Linked DNA regions of Danio rerio. The protein of the gene in region 3 interacts with the protein of the main gene of each other region in a pairwise test. Links are inferred from orthologs where the notes say so. Each region holds a gene or a part of one and is shown on either strand. Other genes may lie near its edges.

What was found.
Region 1: the proteins of lzts2a (region 3) and gpank1 interact in binary tests that used the Homo sapiens proteins (3 or more experiments, as listed by UniProt). The two-hybrid records come from large-scale screens. The link is inferred for Danio rerio from reciprocal best matches to the Homo sapiens genes LZTS2 and GPANK1.
Region 2: the proteins of lzts2a (region 3) and fkbp6 interact in binary tests that used the Homo sapiens proteins (3 or more experiments, as listed by UniProt). The two-hybrid records come from large-scale screens. The link is inferred for Danio rerio from reciprocal best matches to the Homo sapiens genes LZTS2 and FKBP6.

Annotation. Positions count from the first base shown.
Region 1 is NC_133176.1:27,689,487-27,694,456, forward strand, and holds the start of gpank1 (G patch domain and ankyrin repeat-containing protein 1), read right to left. Parts: upstream 2,991-4,970; 5' UTR 2,932-2,990; exon of another isoform or gene 2,897-2,931; intron 2,414-2,896; 5' UTR 2,349-2,413; coding exon 2,156-2,348; intron 323-2,155; coding exon 51-322; intron 1-50.
Region 2 is NC_133180.1:61,312,166-61,317,090, forward strand, and holds the start of fkbp6 (inactive peptidyl-prolyl cis-trans isomerase FKBP6), read left to right. Parts: upstream 1-1,935; 5' UTR 1,936-2,014; coding exon 2,015-2,089; intron 2,090-2,229; exon of another isoform or gene 2,230-2,307; intron 2,308-2,871; coding exon 2,872-2,989; intron 2,990-4,770; coding exon 4,771-4,860; intron 4,861-4,925. UniProt on the Homo sapiens protein: Has an essential role in spermatogenesis. It is required to repress transposable elements and prevent their mobilization, which is essential for the germline integrity.
Region 3 is NC_133188.1:20,794,337-20,799,108, forward strand, and holds the start of lzts2a (leucine zipper putative tumor suppressor 2a), read right to left. Parts: upstream 3,371-4,772; 5' UTR 3,209-3,370; intron 1-3,208. UniProt on the Homo sapiens protein: Negative regulator of katanin-mediated microtubule severing and release from the centrosome. Required for central spindle formation and the completion of cytokinesis.

The sequences.
Region 1 (4,970 bases), on a different chromosome or scaffold from region 3:
AACTACAAATTGAAAGAGGCATAAAGATTTCAGGAGGAAATGTTATGTACCTGTTTGTCCACGACTCCAACCCAAGCGGCCCCATGCTCCAGGAGCAGCCGAACGGCTTCTGTTTGTCCTGCCTGACTCGCACACATCACACCTGTCCAGAAAAAATCATCCCGGAAGTTGACATCACAGCCACGTCGTAAGAGGTCTTTCAGGGCCCGAATGTTGCCTTCCTGGGCGCACTGCAGGAGTTTGTGTCCATCACGCTCCGTGCAAACTGGCTGCACAGTGGAAGCTTCTAGCCTTCTTGCTTCTCTTCTTCTTCGATTGGGTTCTTGTGTCAAAAGATATTGGAAGATCATGATAAATCTGTATAACAATGAGTGTTTTAAACGTCATTTTTTTAAACTAAACTTTAAGGAAAATAAATGACAGAGATTAAATGTATCAAAGAGGAAAAACACCAATTGTTAATCTACACTTACAGTTGAAGTCAGAATTATTAGCCCCCTTTAAATTTATTTTTCTTTTTTAAATATTTCCCAAATGATGTTTAACAGAGCAAGGAAATTTTCACAGTATGTCTGATGATGTTTTTTTTCTTTTCAGAGGATGTCTTATTTGTTTTATTTTAGCTAGAATAAAAGCAGTTTTAATAAAAATAAAGAAATAAATAATCATTTTAAGGACAAACTTATTAGCCCCTTTAAGCAAATTTTTTTGATAGTCTACAGAACAAACCATCGTTATACAATAACTTGCCTATTTACCCTAACCTGTAACCTAAGATAATTAACCTAGCTAAGTCTTTAAATGTCAGTTTAAGCTGTCTTGAAAATGTCTAGTAAAATATTATTTACTGTCATTATGGCAAATATAAAAAAACAGTTATTAGAGATGAGTTATAAAAACTATTATGTTTAGACGTGTTGAAAAAATCTTCTTTCGGTTTAACAGAAACTGTGAAAACAATAAACAGGGGGGCTAATTGTATATGTACTACACAAACTACAATTTTATATAGATTTTGCATGTTCTGTCAAATTTGTTTTGATGTAAAATTTTTATTAATCATGATACATTTGAAAAGCGTATGTTTTTTCGCTGTTCCTCTCTATACACACCAGGCAATTTTTTATAAACACTGCAATTCTGAGTGATCTACTCTCAGAGGACAGGGTATTTTTTTTAGTTTTTCTGATTCTTTTATTTGAGTTGACCATTATCAATTGAATAAATGTAACAATATGCTGTAGCAGTTGAAAATTAGATTTTTGTTTAACCAATTTACACATTGATGTAAAAGACACAACATGTAAGATTTTTTCTTAAATATATACAAAAACCACTAGAACAATGTTATGTATTAATTTTCCAGACTTATGTACTAACAATATCCCTAACATTTAGAAGTATGTTAAAGTCCAGAGAAATAAGCATTTTTAACTAGTGACACAGAACATGTCCTGTGTGGCCATGCTAATGGTTTCACACACCCTTAGTTTCCAGTTTGGTTTCACCAAGCACCAAAGATGTTTTAATATGGTGTGTGTTTTATTACACTGCACAATGCAGCTTTAGAACAGAATCTTAAAATGTTTTTAAGAAAAAAAAAAAAACATAAAAATTTTAATTTGAAAAAACAGCAATGTTTTTTATACCCACATGATCATGACCAGTAGAACCAGAAGCAGTCGACTCTGGAATAATAAAAGTTAACTTCGTTTGTGCCAAGTCATTTTACTTCAACGGCTTTTACTCTTAAGCCCTTAATGTTTTGGACAACAAACTTTTTTTAGTGGTCTAAGGCAGTGTATTAAAACTGTTTTCTATTGCCCACAAGCATTTTGCATGCTGTTTATGTGCCCCAGGAAGGGCCCCTCGTGTTCTAACCGGCTGCTGCTTTTCACGTTTTTGACCTTTGAATACTTTCTCTCACATGATTTCCACAGAAGTCCTGTAGAATGTAATAAAGACAAAAACTGTTTCCACACTCAGTCACAGCGTCATCAGTTGCGAATGCACACACTTGTGGCAAAATGAAATACTGTGTCATACAAAAAATCCAGTTAATTTAAGTTGTTGTGACTAAGAAAATTTTAAAAGACACTAAATTAAAATACATCAGTGCATAATCAAATATCAGATAGTAATTTGACAATTCTACCTGTTCGTCTTTTTGCTCTTCTACTTGCTGCTGCTTCTCCATCTCTTGGCCTTTCTCTATCTCTCTCTTGTAAGAGGCTTTGGTAAAAGTCTCTGGCCTCAACCCCAGAAATTGTTTGCTTGTCTTCTTTCTTTTTTTCTATCCAGAGCGTCTCCTCTTGTTTGGCTCTGGTGAAGTAGACTGGGTTGTTCATCTTTAACACTTTGCTATTAAATAGACAAATGAAAAATCCTACGACTGCAGCTCATGCCCAAGATACTAAAATCAAGAGGAGACAAAAAGAGGTCATTTTCATATCAGTTAAAAAGTAACCATCCATTAATTTACAGGGCAGTCTTTTTACGTTACTTAGATTCTGTCAATTGTGTCTTGAACGTGTATCCTAACATTTGTTTCTGTAATGTAATGATAACTGCCATCAAAGCTTATGTTTGTAGTTGCGTAATAAATGTTTAGTCGAACTATTAATGAGTCTGATCATTTTGTCAAAAAAAATGTCAACAGCTCTTACACAGTTAACGTTGTAACTATGAAATTCTGGTTTTCGGCTAAATGAATTTCTAGTCAATTAGGATAGTAAATGTCTAGGATTATGGTGTTACTGTAATCGAGATATGATGCATCCCACTTTACGCTGATACAATTATTAATACAGCCTTAAATCTATATAGTTACAACAATTATATCAAAGAAAAGATAAACACGTCCAAATTAAACCCAAGGTAATGAACACACACTTACGTCCAGTAAACCCAAGGTAATGAACACACACTTACGTCCAGTAAACACAACGCTCTCATTCTTGTGTCGATTTTTGACTATTACTTTGTAGCAGTGCCACCAACTGGTCTGGAGTGTGAAACTTTGCTTCTCTTGAAATCTCTTGATTTCTAAATTTGCATTGAAAACCTAATGTCTTCTTAAAATTAGGATTTACTGATATTTTATATAATTACCCTGCTGAAGAATCCAGCTTAGACCAGCCTATGATGGTTGGCTGGTTTTAGTTGGTCAACCAGCCTGGTTTTAGAAACAAGCCAAGCAAGACGTCTTGGGAGCCCAGCCAAAACCAGCTATGCCCAGCTTAAACCAGGCTGGTCAAGTTGGTTTTAGCTGGTCATTTTCCAGCCTGACCCACTAAGACCAGGCTAGAAATGCCTGGAAACCAGCCTGAAAATGGCCAAAACCCCTCCTAAAACCAGGCTGGTCAACCAGTTTAAACCGGCCAACATGCTAAAGTTCCCTACAATAAGGTTTGTTAACTAAAATAATTTAACAACATTTGTTAAAATCAACTGTGAACACGCATTTATTAATCTTAATATCAATTTTTACTAGAAACATTTGAAAAACCAAAGATGTAATCAGTGCATTAGTTAAAACAAAGAAACACTGATGCGAGCATTATGAATTTTTATTGAAATTATTAGTGTCAAAATGTATTCAATGCTGGAACTCTGGAACTGCTGTTTGACAAAAATAATGTATTTGAAAAAGTGACCCATGAACAAAATGATACAAAAAAGATTGCTTGTACAAAAGTACTTTTGGTTAAATTTAGTAATTTCCTCCCATTATGCCATTATTGAAACCACAAGTATTGATTGTGAGAGTTGGTAATTTTCTGAAAAATATACCACTTAAAAAGTGATATGCAAAGATATTTTCAGAAAATGTTGGCTCAGCTGTACTGACATAATTAAACTGCTTTTCTCCAAATAAACACCAGGACTGAAATAAACGATTGTTCTAAACTTCACCATCAAACAGAGAGGGTAGAAAACTTTAGACAGTAATGAACATGGGAACAGTCACAGACATCAGCCTGAGCGAGAGGTGATGATGCTCTCTCTCCTCTGTCCTTTAACTAACACCTACAAAGACACTTAATGATGTAAAAATCTGCCAGAAACAATAATCAGAACTGTTTGACTTGCATTTGGCCTAAATCACCAACGAGCCTTGATAATCCTTTTGAAAAAAAAAAAAAAAGTATGCAGTATTCTGCTGGAAGCTTCTGAATCTGTGAATGTGGGGGGTATGGTTACTTTAAGCAATTATAAGAAACATTTGAAGATAAACATGCAAATAAAATGCAAACCAATAGAAGTGACCCCAATCGCTTCATAAAACATTACATTTTGGCCCAACAGTTTGATTAAGTACTTGATTTGAATAGCCTGACTCATTTAATACCTTATTAGGTCCACTGCCAAAAAAAGAATGAGCGACCACTGCCATCACTAACAAGAGAACACAACAAAAAACAACTTAAGCTGAAAAAGATAAAGCAAAATTAATCCCTCAACCCAAACTGTATTTCACGGCCCTCTGAAGCTGCTGATTTCCTCACTTCTTTTCCATTTATGTTGCATACTGTATAAATGCACATAAACTCAAAAAACAACTAAGGCAAGCCCATAATAGAGGAGAGAAGATTTCTCAGTTGTCACTCTTCATCAAGACAATCTCATTTCTGAGGCTGAATATTTCTGTGTGAACTTGGAGGATGAGCAATGAAGACATTGAGGAAAGATTTCCAGGGAGGTGCAGGAGATCCCAACTTGTTCAGCATCAAGATCCTGCTGGAGCTCTTCGGAATCTTCTAACTTTTCACAATTCCTCCATCACCCTCACTAACAAAGCGCTTGCGCCCCCTGTTGGACATAATAATACATCAGTTACAACGCAAGAGTAAGCAGGAGGAGAATATCTACTATTACTGGATCAGACTAACCAATGTGTTTGATGATAGGTGTTTGTGGTGATCCATAAATGACAATGAGCATCAGAACCTTTTGTCTTTCCTTGATAC
Region 2 (4,925 bases), on a different chromosome or scaffold from region 3:
AAGGTAAAAATGAACATCCTTTATACTCCATCATGTGGTTTTAAACTTTAAGTTTCTTTCTTTTGTAGAACACAAGATAATATATTTTAAGGTATGCTGGTAGCTTGTACTCATCCACATCCATCGTATGAAAAAAGTTAACAGGAATCAACATTTTTCATGTCAACTTTTGTGTTTAAAGCAGGGGTGCCCATATTCAGTCTTGGAGGGCCGGTGTCCTGCAAAGTTTAGTTCCAACCCCAATTAGACACACCTGAACTTGTTACTTAAGCTGTTTCTAGGTATACTAGAAACTTCCAGGCAGTGTGTTGAAGGAAGTTGGAGCTAAACTATGCAGGACACTGGCCCTACAGGACCGAGTTTGGGCAGCCCTGGTTTAAAGGAAGAAAGAAACTCAAAAAGGTTGAAAAGAGTAAATGATAGAATTTACAAATTTGGGTGAACTATTCCTTTAAACCAGAGGTGAGCAAACTGGGTCCTGGAGGGCCGGTGTCCTGCATAGTTTAGCTGCAACACTAATCAAACACACCTGAACATGCTAATCAGTGCCTTCAAGATCACTAAATCTATAAGCAGGTGTGTGTGATTAGAGTTGGAGCTAAACTGCCAAAACTGTAAGACTTGCTTTGTTAACCAAATAAGTATATCTGATTGGATTTGAATTGTAAACATTAAATAAAAGTAAAAAAAAAATATTATTTTTATTTTATATATTCAGTTTTTTGTTATGATACTCTCAAAATCATTCCGCATAAATGTGCTGATTTTTTTACACAATTCTCAGCAAAAATGTCTACAGATTCTGTCTGGCCATAACTATCGCTTTAAACACTGTGGTGCAAAATGCTTTATGCATGATGTCACCTCAAATATTTAATCAGAAAAATACTGCAGATATTCTGCATTTAAGTGATTTATATGAATTATTTATTGTGTTCAGTAGATCTCAAAAATGCAACTTACTCAGAATAAATTAGAATTTGAAATAATAGTTGTCTTGGAGCTACAGACAAGACCTTATCAAACCAACAGCAATAGAGTATATGCAGAAGTATGCTAAAGAACTTTTAATTTGCCTGTAACCTGGGTTAAGCGTTTCTGGGGAACTGTATGTCATTGCAAAATCGGTGCATATATTTTGCAATATATAAGGTCTGTTTTCTTTAAAAATCAGCGATATCCACTGGATGAGTAATATTCGATATAAAGTGGGTCTCAGATTGTACAAGAAGCACTGCATTAAATTACATTTTTTCCGCCATGTCTTCATAATATGAGCATTTATTTTACCCCAGTATATGCAATAAAGCTTCTGCGCTAGCCTGCTGATTCTAATGGACACGTACAAGTAAATGACTTTTTTTGTCTTGTTTTACGTTGGAGCAACTAAATGAATGTCAAAGTCTTTTTAACTGATTGTATTTTATTTACATTATAACATCAATGGTGTAAAAAGGAACCGTAAAAAATGGAAAAAAGTCACATTAACCGTTCACTGGAAGTTTATCAGTCTGGGAAAAAAACATTACCTCGGCATAATAACTTACTATAATGCAAATAGTTGTAATAAAATATGCTAACTATTTTTATACTTTATGCAGTTTTAGGTCTTTTTGGCTACTGCTCCGATCCAGCTACAAACCCACACTCACACATTTGGCCACTAGATCCAGGCCAGGCTCTGCCATATGGTAGGCCTAATGATGGATAATTTTTTATCATTAAATGAGCCATCCTAAGAATTTCTACATATAGAAATTATAATTACAATAATTATATTTACAGTATTTATTAACTATACACAAAATATTACAAATACATAATTTCATTTACACGGGGATCTTGTGGCCTGAAACCAAACCCTGAAACATGTGGGTCTGCGCGTCTGATGCTGCCTGCATGCTATTGGAATGTCGTCCACTAGTTGGCGCAAGTGTAGCCAAGTGACAGGTTAATGAGTCCATCATCTGCAGGTTTGGCGCTTCAGAAAGTGTTACCCTAAAACGCATGCACAATGTCAACAAACGGCAAGACCCCGAGAATACTACAGTTTGTGGCTCCAGATGAGCGTCGTCAGTTTGGAATTGAGGTAACAGTACATTAGCATGTGAGCTACTTAATAAAAAAGAAATGGATCAGTTTACAACAAAACGCGCTAGCAAACAACTCCATTTTCTTTAAATTATTTAAACATGCATGAACGTTCTGTTAAAAATCTATACAACGCACAAATGTCAAGTTCCAGAATGCACAAACGTGTAAATAGTGTTCCGTCATGTGTCGTTATGAAGGCCAGGGTTGGAGTTGGCAGAACATGATAATTCAGAACGCTGTCCTAAAATCATAGGCCTAGCCCTAAAACTTTCATTCATTCATTTATTCATTTCCTTCGTCTTAATTTTATATATATATATATATATATATATATATATATATATATATATATATATATATATATATATATATATATATATATATATATATATATTTGTTGTGAAGTTTGCGTGTTCTCCCCGTGTTTCCTCCGGGTGCTCCAGTTTCCCCCACAAGTCTTCAAACATGTGCTTAAAGTGAATTGGGTAAGATCGAGGTGTATGTGTGTAAATAAGTGTGAATGTTTGCCAGTAATGGGTTGCAGCTTGGAAGGGCATCCGCTGTGTAAAATATATGCTGGATAAGTTGGCAGTTCATTCCGCTGTAGTGACCCCTGATTAATAAAGGCACTAAGCTGAAAAGAAAATGAGTGAATGAAAGATTTTTTGCTGAGGGACATGGGTGCTTCTCTTTAAGATGCATTAAATTAGAAAATATTATTTAAAATGCATAAATTGTTGGTATTTGTAATCATTTCATTTTATTTTTTCCTCTTAGACCCCTTTTCAGCGTCTGGCTCCACAAATGCAAGACATATTAGGGGATGGAGGAGTCCTTAAAGAGGTCATCCATGAAGGAGAAGGGCCACCTGTATCAATGCATGCTTCAGTATCAAGTAAATTACGTTAAACATTGTTTCTCATTTATGACTTTCAAGTAGTATCAAGGCTCAACATTAAGAACTGCCTGATGGCCAGGGGCCAGCATGAGAGAAGCTAGGGACAATTGACAGAATTGTTACTGGCCCGATCAGTGCTGCCTCGCCATTAAAGTTTAATTTGCCTGCAACTATTTGTCAATTGCATGCAGATTTAAAATATAAAAATAATGTCTTAGAATCGATACAGTGCTTTTAAGACTTTAAATACCATTTTCTCTGTCATGTCTTAAACACAATATTACTTTTTGGTTCCTCATATCTGATTGGATGTTGTAAGCATGTTTTTTTTTTCCTTAACCTGGTAACAACCAGTATAGCAAAGAGACAGAAACATTGCTGCAACATCATATTATGAGGCTAAAAGAAAACGTCTGTATCTAACATACTGGAAGCAGACATTTACATGAGTACGACATGCCGTCAATTTGGCAACTCAGCCATCTTTTGTTAAATAATTTAGAACTGCAATAAAATACCTGCACATTTTCCATGGTGCTCTTTTTGTTTGCATAACACTTTAAATTTGACTCATTATACAGTTATTAACATTTTTTTTAAATATTTAAATTTTAGATTCTTAAGTTTTGACACATTATTTAAAATATGTAGCTAAGAAATAGGTAACTCATAGGTAAGTTAAGGTAACTCAAACTATTTGAGAAAACAGACAAACCATTTGAGTTAAAAAACTAATCTAAATGAGTACTGTGAACTTAATTAATTTCAGTAAATCAAGCAATTTAAGCACAGTAAAACCCGATAAATGAAGAGAACTCAAACTAACTGAGTACTAGTGAAACCATTTGAGTTAAAAAAAACGAATCTTTATGAGTACTTTGAACTTACTCCATTTAAGTTGAAGTAATGAGGTATTAGAATAGTTCAAAACGCCTTTCAAATGAGTAAAATGAACTTTAAATCAATTTTGAGTTATCTACACTACACTTTTTATTTATTTATTTATTTTATATTTTTTGTGGGGCCAGTGAAAATTTTGGCCAGTAGAAAGAAATCATTAGTGTTGAACCCTGAGTACCTACCTTTTTTCACACTACTGTGGTTTTATATTATGTAAAAGCGTAAATTAGTCTTATTTTCCATGCAAAGCATCGTTTGGCATAGGAAAAAAGTCAGTAGAAAAAAATTATTCCTAAAGTATTTAGCAGTTTGAAATATTGGGGCCTGTGAGACTAATAATGTTTTTGAAAAAATACTTTTTTTAAAAGACAATTTAAGTCCGTTAAGTCAAACTATTAAAATATATGCTGTAAGTGTATTAAATGCAAAGCTCTGTCATGAACTTTGAATGTGTCCCATTCAATCTGCTTGCATCCCTAATTATTTACATGGTGCAGGTGATAGGTTGCGGTCACCTCAGCAGCCAATGAGCTTAAACCTGTGGGTGTTTCTTAGCACTAGAGGTTGTGCTCTCATGACTGGGTTGATGGTTCATTTGATGGTTCATTCCTCTGTGGCGAGCCCTTATAAATCTGGGACTAAGCTAAAGTAGTGATGAGAACAGATTCTTTTTTCAAAAACTTTGTTATTTTCTTGAACTTTAAAATTGTACATCTTTTTGTAAACTCATATGTCACTTGTGATCGGTTTATTGTGCGCTTGCTGAAAAAAATGTATAATTTCTTTCTTACACTTTTTAATTGGTTGTGTCTGTACCTTTATATCATGTTCTCTTTGGTTTGTTAGCTACTCATTTCAAGACCTCATTTCATCCACAGTTAATTTCTCTGGTTTCATCGAGTACACTGACGCACCATTTGAGACAACCAACCACCTTAAATATCCACGAATGATGAAGCTTGGTAAAGGTAGGATGGGATTGTAACTCTCCCATTAGAATGGGTAGACATCAAGATTCTCCATTAAATTCTCT
Region 3 (4,772 bases):
CTCTGTATATACGTCTGCAGGAAGCTACAGTCTTACATAAACACTTGGCGTATAAAGGCTTCTCATAAATGGAAACAGTAAAAATGATAGAACGAGGTGTTTTAGAGACCTTAAACCTGTGAGACAAGGCTAGCCGGCGGGGCACGTAGTGTCCTTACGAAGACAGTGCGCTGACCACATTTACTAACGCTGTATTTCAGAGCCCTCTAACATATGAGAGTGATTTAACTCATCTATTATTTTCCGACTCACTGACGCAAGCACCTTTCCACCCCCCTAGGTGATCTCATCCGGAGCAGAGTCTGGACGCTGCTGACACGCAGTAACAGGCCACTCTATTTCAGGCTTTTACTGTATAAGAATGTGCCATGAGCTGAGTCACATCCACTTTAAACACAAACGGGAATCTTAATATACTTGGGTGGTGGGGGGATGGGGGGGTTCATTCAAAACTTCATCCCATTCGAAAACAAAATGTCAATAGATCAGGTATCATGCTGTGCAAGAAGCTTAGTGGTGTTTGACTAGTTTGAAGAAGCTTTATGTAAGCACTGAGCGAAGAGTGATTGGAGTGTGTATGTGTGTATTCTGGACACCGGACGTTCCAATCTGGGCCAGTTTTTGAGAAGTCATGTTACTTTTTAATTTATGGTCACAAAAAAGCAAAAATATACTAAATATTTGCAATAAACATAAAGTCGCCTAATAGAGAGTTTCACAGTGATCCCATAGAAGAAATATTTTTAGTCCAAAGATCTAAAAAGTAGATCAAAAAGACAATTCATTGGCATTGATGCTTCCATTAAACATTGTTTACATCGTCAACATAAGGTTCTTTTTAGCGGAAATGGTTTTTAACAGTACAGTAAAGGCATTTCACACACACATAAATGATTCCTTTTGGAACTCTTTACTGAAAAGTTGTTTTCAGTAATTTTGTATATGGGAGACGTTCCCATGTACAGAAGTTTGCATCAGCTGGTAAAGACCTTCAACCCACCTAGGTAGGTGTGGCTTTAACACTACTCTGAATTTAATTTCCTCTGTTTAATCCATCATTGTCAGACAAACACAAGTAAAATCAAGCACTAAAGAGCAGTTTTATAGTGGATACTAGGGCTGGGCGATAAAATTGATATCGATATTTATTGACGGAACCACCATTGTCAATATCGATAAAAAAACGATTTAGAATTATTTAGTTCCGGTATAAAGCACTATAGTTTTATTAAAAGTGGCTGATGAACGTGTGCCTTGGAAACAGTGCCAATAAGTTTAGGGTGAAAGTTTGTCATTTCCAATGAAGTCGCGCGACTTGAGCGACGCGCCCATGTTGTGCAGGTGGTGCACACATACACATGTGAACCGTGCACATTTTTGAGCCGCATCTACAGTAGTTAAAAACATTTGAACTTTTCTGAATGCTGAGAGCACACCGCCATTCATGCTAGTAGAATTAACCAATCTGCCTCACACTTTGTATGGAATATACACATTTCAGTAATAACGGCAGACTAATTACCTCAGACAAACACAGCGCAGCCAAACACTGCAGTGCTTTTTACTTTTCTCCATAAACTTGTTGCAGCAATGGTTTTTCTGCAACCATTCCAGATTCCAATTGGAACCAATTCCAGAAACCATGCGCGTGCACTTGTTACTTAAGGTTAGAATAACAACACATGCGAAAATGAGTGCCATATAGCAGCATTGAGGAGATTATAAACAATAAAAGATGTAAAGATGTCGCCAGAGTGGCTTTTTGGTTTCTTTTCTTGTGCATCCTAGCCACTAGCTCCCCATCTGAGACATGTTTTAGCGTAGGGGTAATGTAGCCATTTAAGTATTTAACAATTTGTATTGTTATAATATGTATTTAAATAATTTGAGTTTTACTGCATCATTATTATTGACATCTTACAGATGTTGTTCTACCTTTATCATTGCACACACTTTGTAGCATTTTATTCATCAAGTTTAGGAGTCTCTTTAACACTTATTTATTTTATTATAAAGAGATCAGAAATTTTGTTTAAATATTTTTGTTTTTGACTATTGAACATATTTGCCTTAGTAATGTTGGCAAATTAAAATAAAATGGTTTAAAAAAAAATCTAATATTCCTAAATGTATTTTGTAAGATAATTGTCAATATCAGATGATATGAAACATGATATTGTGATAATATGTTTTGCAATATCACCCAGCTCTAGTAGATACTGATGTTCTGAAAGTTACTGTAGATACTGAAAATATTAATGAGCAACACTGACACCTTTTCTCTATATAAACTTTGCTGTGATTGACTGGGGACACTTTCACATCAGTATTATCAGATGATTTCTGTACATTTGTTTGAATAATTTCAACAAATTTTAGGAAAGAGGAAAAATAGCGCCAAGCTATTTTGAATTTAAAGTTCTATTTTTTTTACTCCTAAAAGAATTGTAAAAAATGTTTTAGTATATATGAACCTGAAGTGTAGTTTCAAAACATTGAATTTCCACAAAATGGTCTCCACAAAACAAAACCAAACCGCTTAGTTGACTCCTGTAAATCAATCCACTCGCAAGGCCCTGCTTTCAAACAAACAAACCAGCCACAAAAACTTAACAAGCTCAACAAACACTCTTTACAGCAGATATAAATACCTATAGGTGACAAAAAACACAAAAGACGTCTCATTTATGTCTTCTAGAGGACAGTGATGTTAAAATGAGAGTAAACTGAGACTTTTGTTTACGCCTCATGCTGCTTATATGGTTTTCCTGTGGGAATCTCACATGTCTCTCTCTGGAGAACCAGAAAAGAGCACAATATTTGACAAGATACCAACGTTTGTAACAGTCTTACTGTCTTAATTTTGTCTTCATTACTTCAAACATTTTAAAGGAGACATCTGGTGACAAACTTAAATGAAGCACAACAGAGTTCACTATTGTATCTTTGTATCTCTGATAAATCAAAACAAAAGCCCAACTTACTCAGCCCCCAAAATAACACAGTATCATTAACATTCTCGCACAGCAGAAAGCACTAACAGTGCTGCTAAAACTTCAAAGAGCGTCTTCTCACCCCAAACCCTATCAGCTTTAAGAAAGTTAATCATTCATTTCACATCACTTCAAAGCTCCCGTGAGCTGCAGTGGTAATCTGAACTCTCGTGCATTCGCAGGCTGCAATAAATCCAGTGGTGTTGCTGACATACCCATAGTGCTCTGCATGGCTGCCTCCTCGCGTCTCCCCAGCCTGTCCTGGAGGTACAATCCCAGTCAGTTCACTGTACTTCTGCTGCTTCTCCTCTCTGTATCACTTTGCTTCTCTCCTACATGCTCATTCTCCGTGCTCCTCCTCCTCATGCCAAAGTTTGCTCTCTTTTCTCTGGCAGAAACCCCCTTCCTCTGTGTCCCGTCCTCTGCTGTTTGCCGCCAGCACCGCCCCCTTCTCCTGCTACCCTCCTCCCATTCGCACTTTGTCTGTGGCCCCTTCCTCCTCCACCACCCCCATCCTCACACACATTTAATCCCTCCTCATACTTGCTCCCTTTTTTCCCCTTGTCTTTCTTCTACCTTTTGCTGTTCTTCATCTCTGACCACGACAGTGTCTGTGGAAAATGGACGACTGCTGTGCAGTTTTTAAGTCTGACATTCAGTGGCTACTTTAAACTTACTGGGCAGGCTGTATCATATTTGATAAGAAGATTTGAAGGGTTCTAAATTGTCAGTGTAATCAAAACTTTGTTGGATAACTCTAGTGTACAATTGACTATATGCCTTCTGTTGTCTTCTTGACAGTTGTGTAATAAGTTTAAGGTCCTTTAGAGTCATTTCTGAAAATTTCCCTTATCAGGACAGGTTGTGGTTTATTTGTCTTTATGTCACATCTTTAAATGATGGTATGGTATGGTATTAGAGGAGTAGCCTTGGATTGGATAATTAGTTATTTAAAAAATAGGCAACAGTTTGTGGAAATTGGCAACCATAAATCATCATATTTAAATGCAAAGTGTGGCATACCACAAAGATCAGTTTTAGGTCCAATATTGTTTATAATTTACATTAATAATATGTGTAAGATTTCAGAGTTGTTTAAGCTTATTTTATTTGCAGATGATACAAGTATCATTTTGTTCTGGGCATAATTTACCAAAATTTATGGAGTTGATTAAAACAAATTAATAAATTGAAATTGTGGTTTGACGTAAACAAATTGTCATTAAATATAAGTAAAACAAAAGGTTTTGTTATCTGGGAAATTAAAAAGTAGACATAATATAGATTTCCAAATTGATAATAAAGTATTTAAGTATAGAGATTATGCAATTATGTTTGTTGGTTTTATATTGGATCATAAAATTAGTTGCGGAAACCGCAAATAAATAATGTAATATCAAAAATAGTAAAAACTGTAGCAATAGTGTAAAAAGCAAGATTTATACTGGACAATATATCAATGTATATATTATATAACACACTTATGTTGCCATATATGAGCTATTGTGTGGAAATTTGGGGGAATACATATACCCCAATATATATATATATATATATATATATATATATATATATATATATATATATATATATATATATTCCCCAATATAATATATATTTACTTACAATCCTTATGTACAATGCAGAAAAAAGTAATTAGACTGATAGAAAATGTGGGGTATTTGGAGCATACAAATCCTTTATTTTTTTAAATTGAAAATACTTAAGTTCAATGATTTGGTTGAATTTAAAACAGCACAATTAATGTTTAAAGCTGGG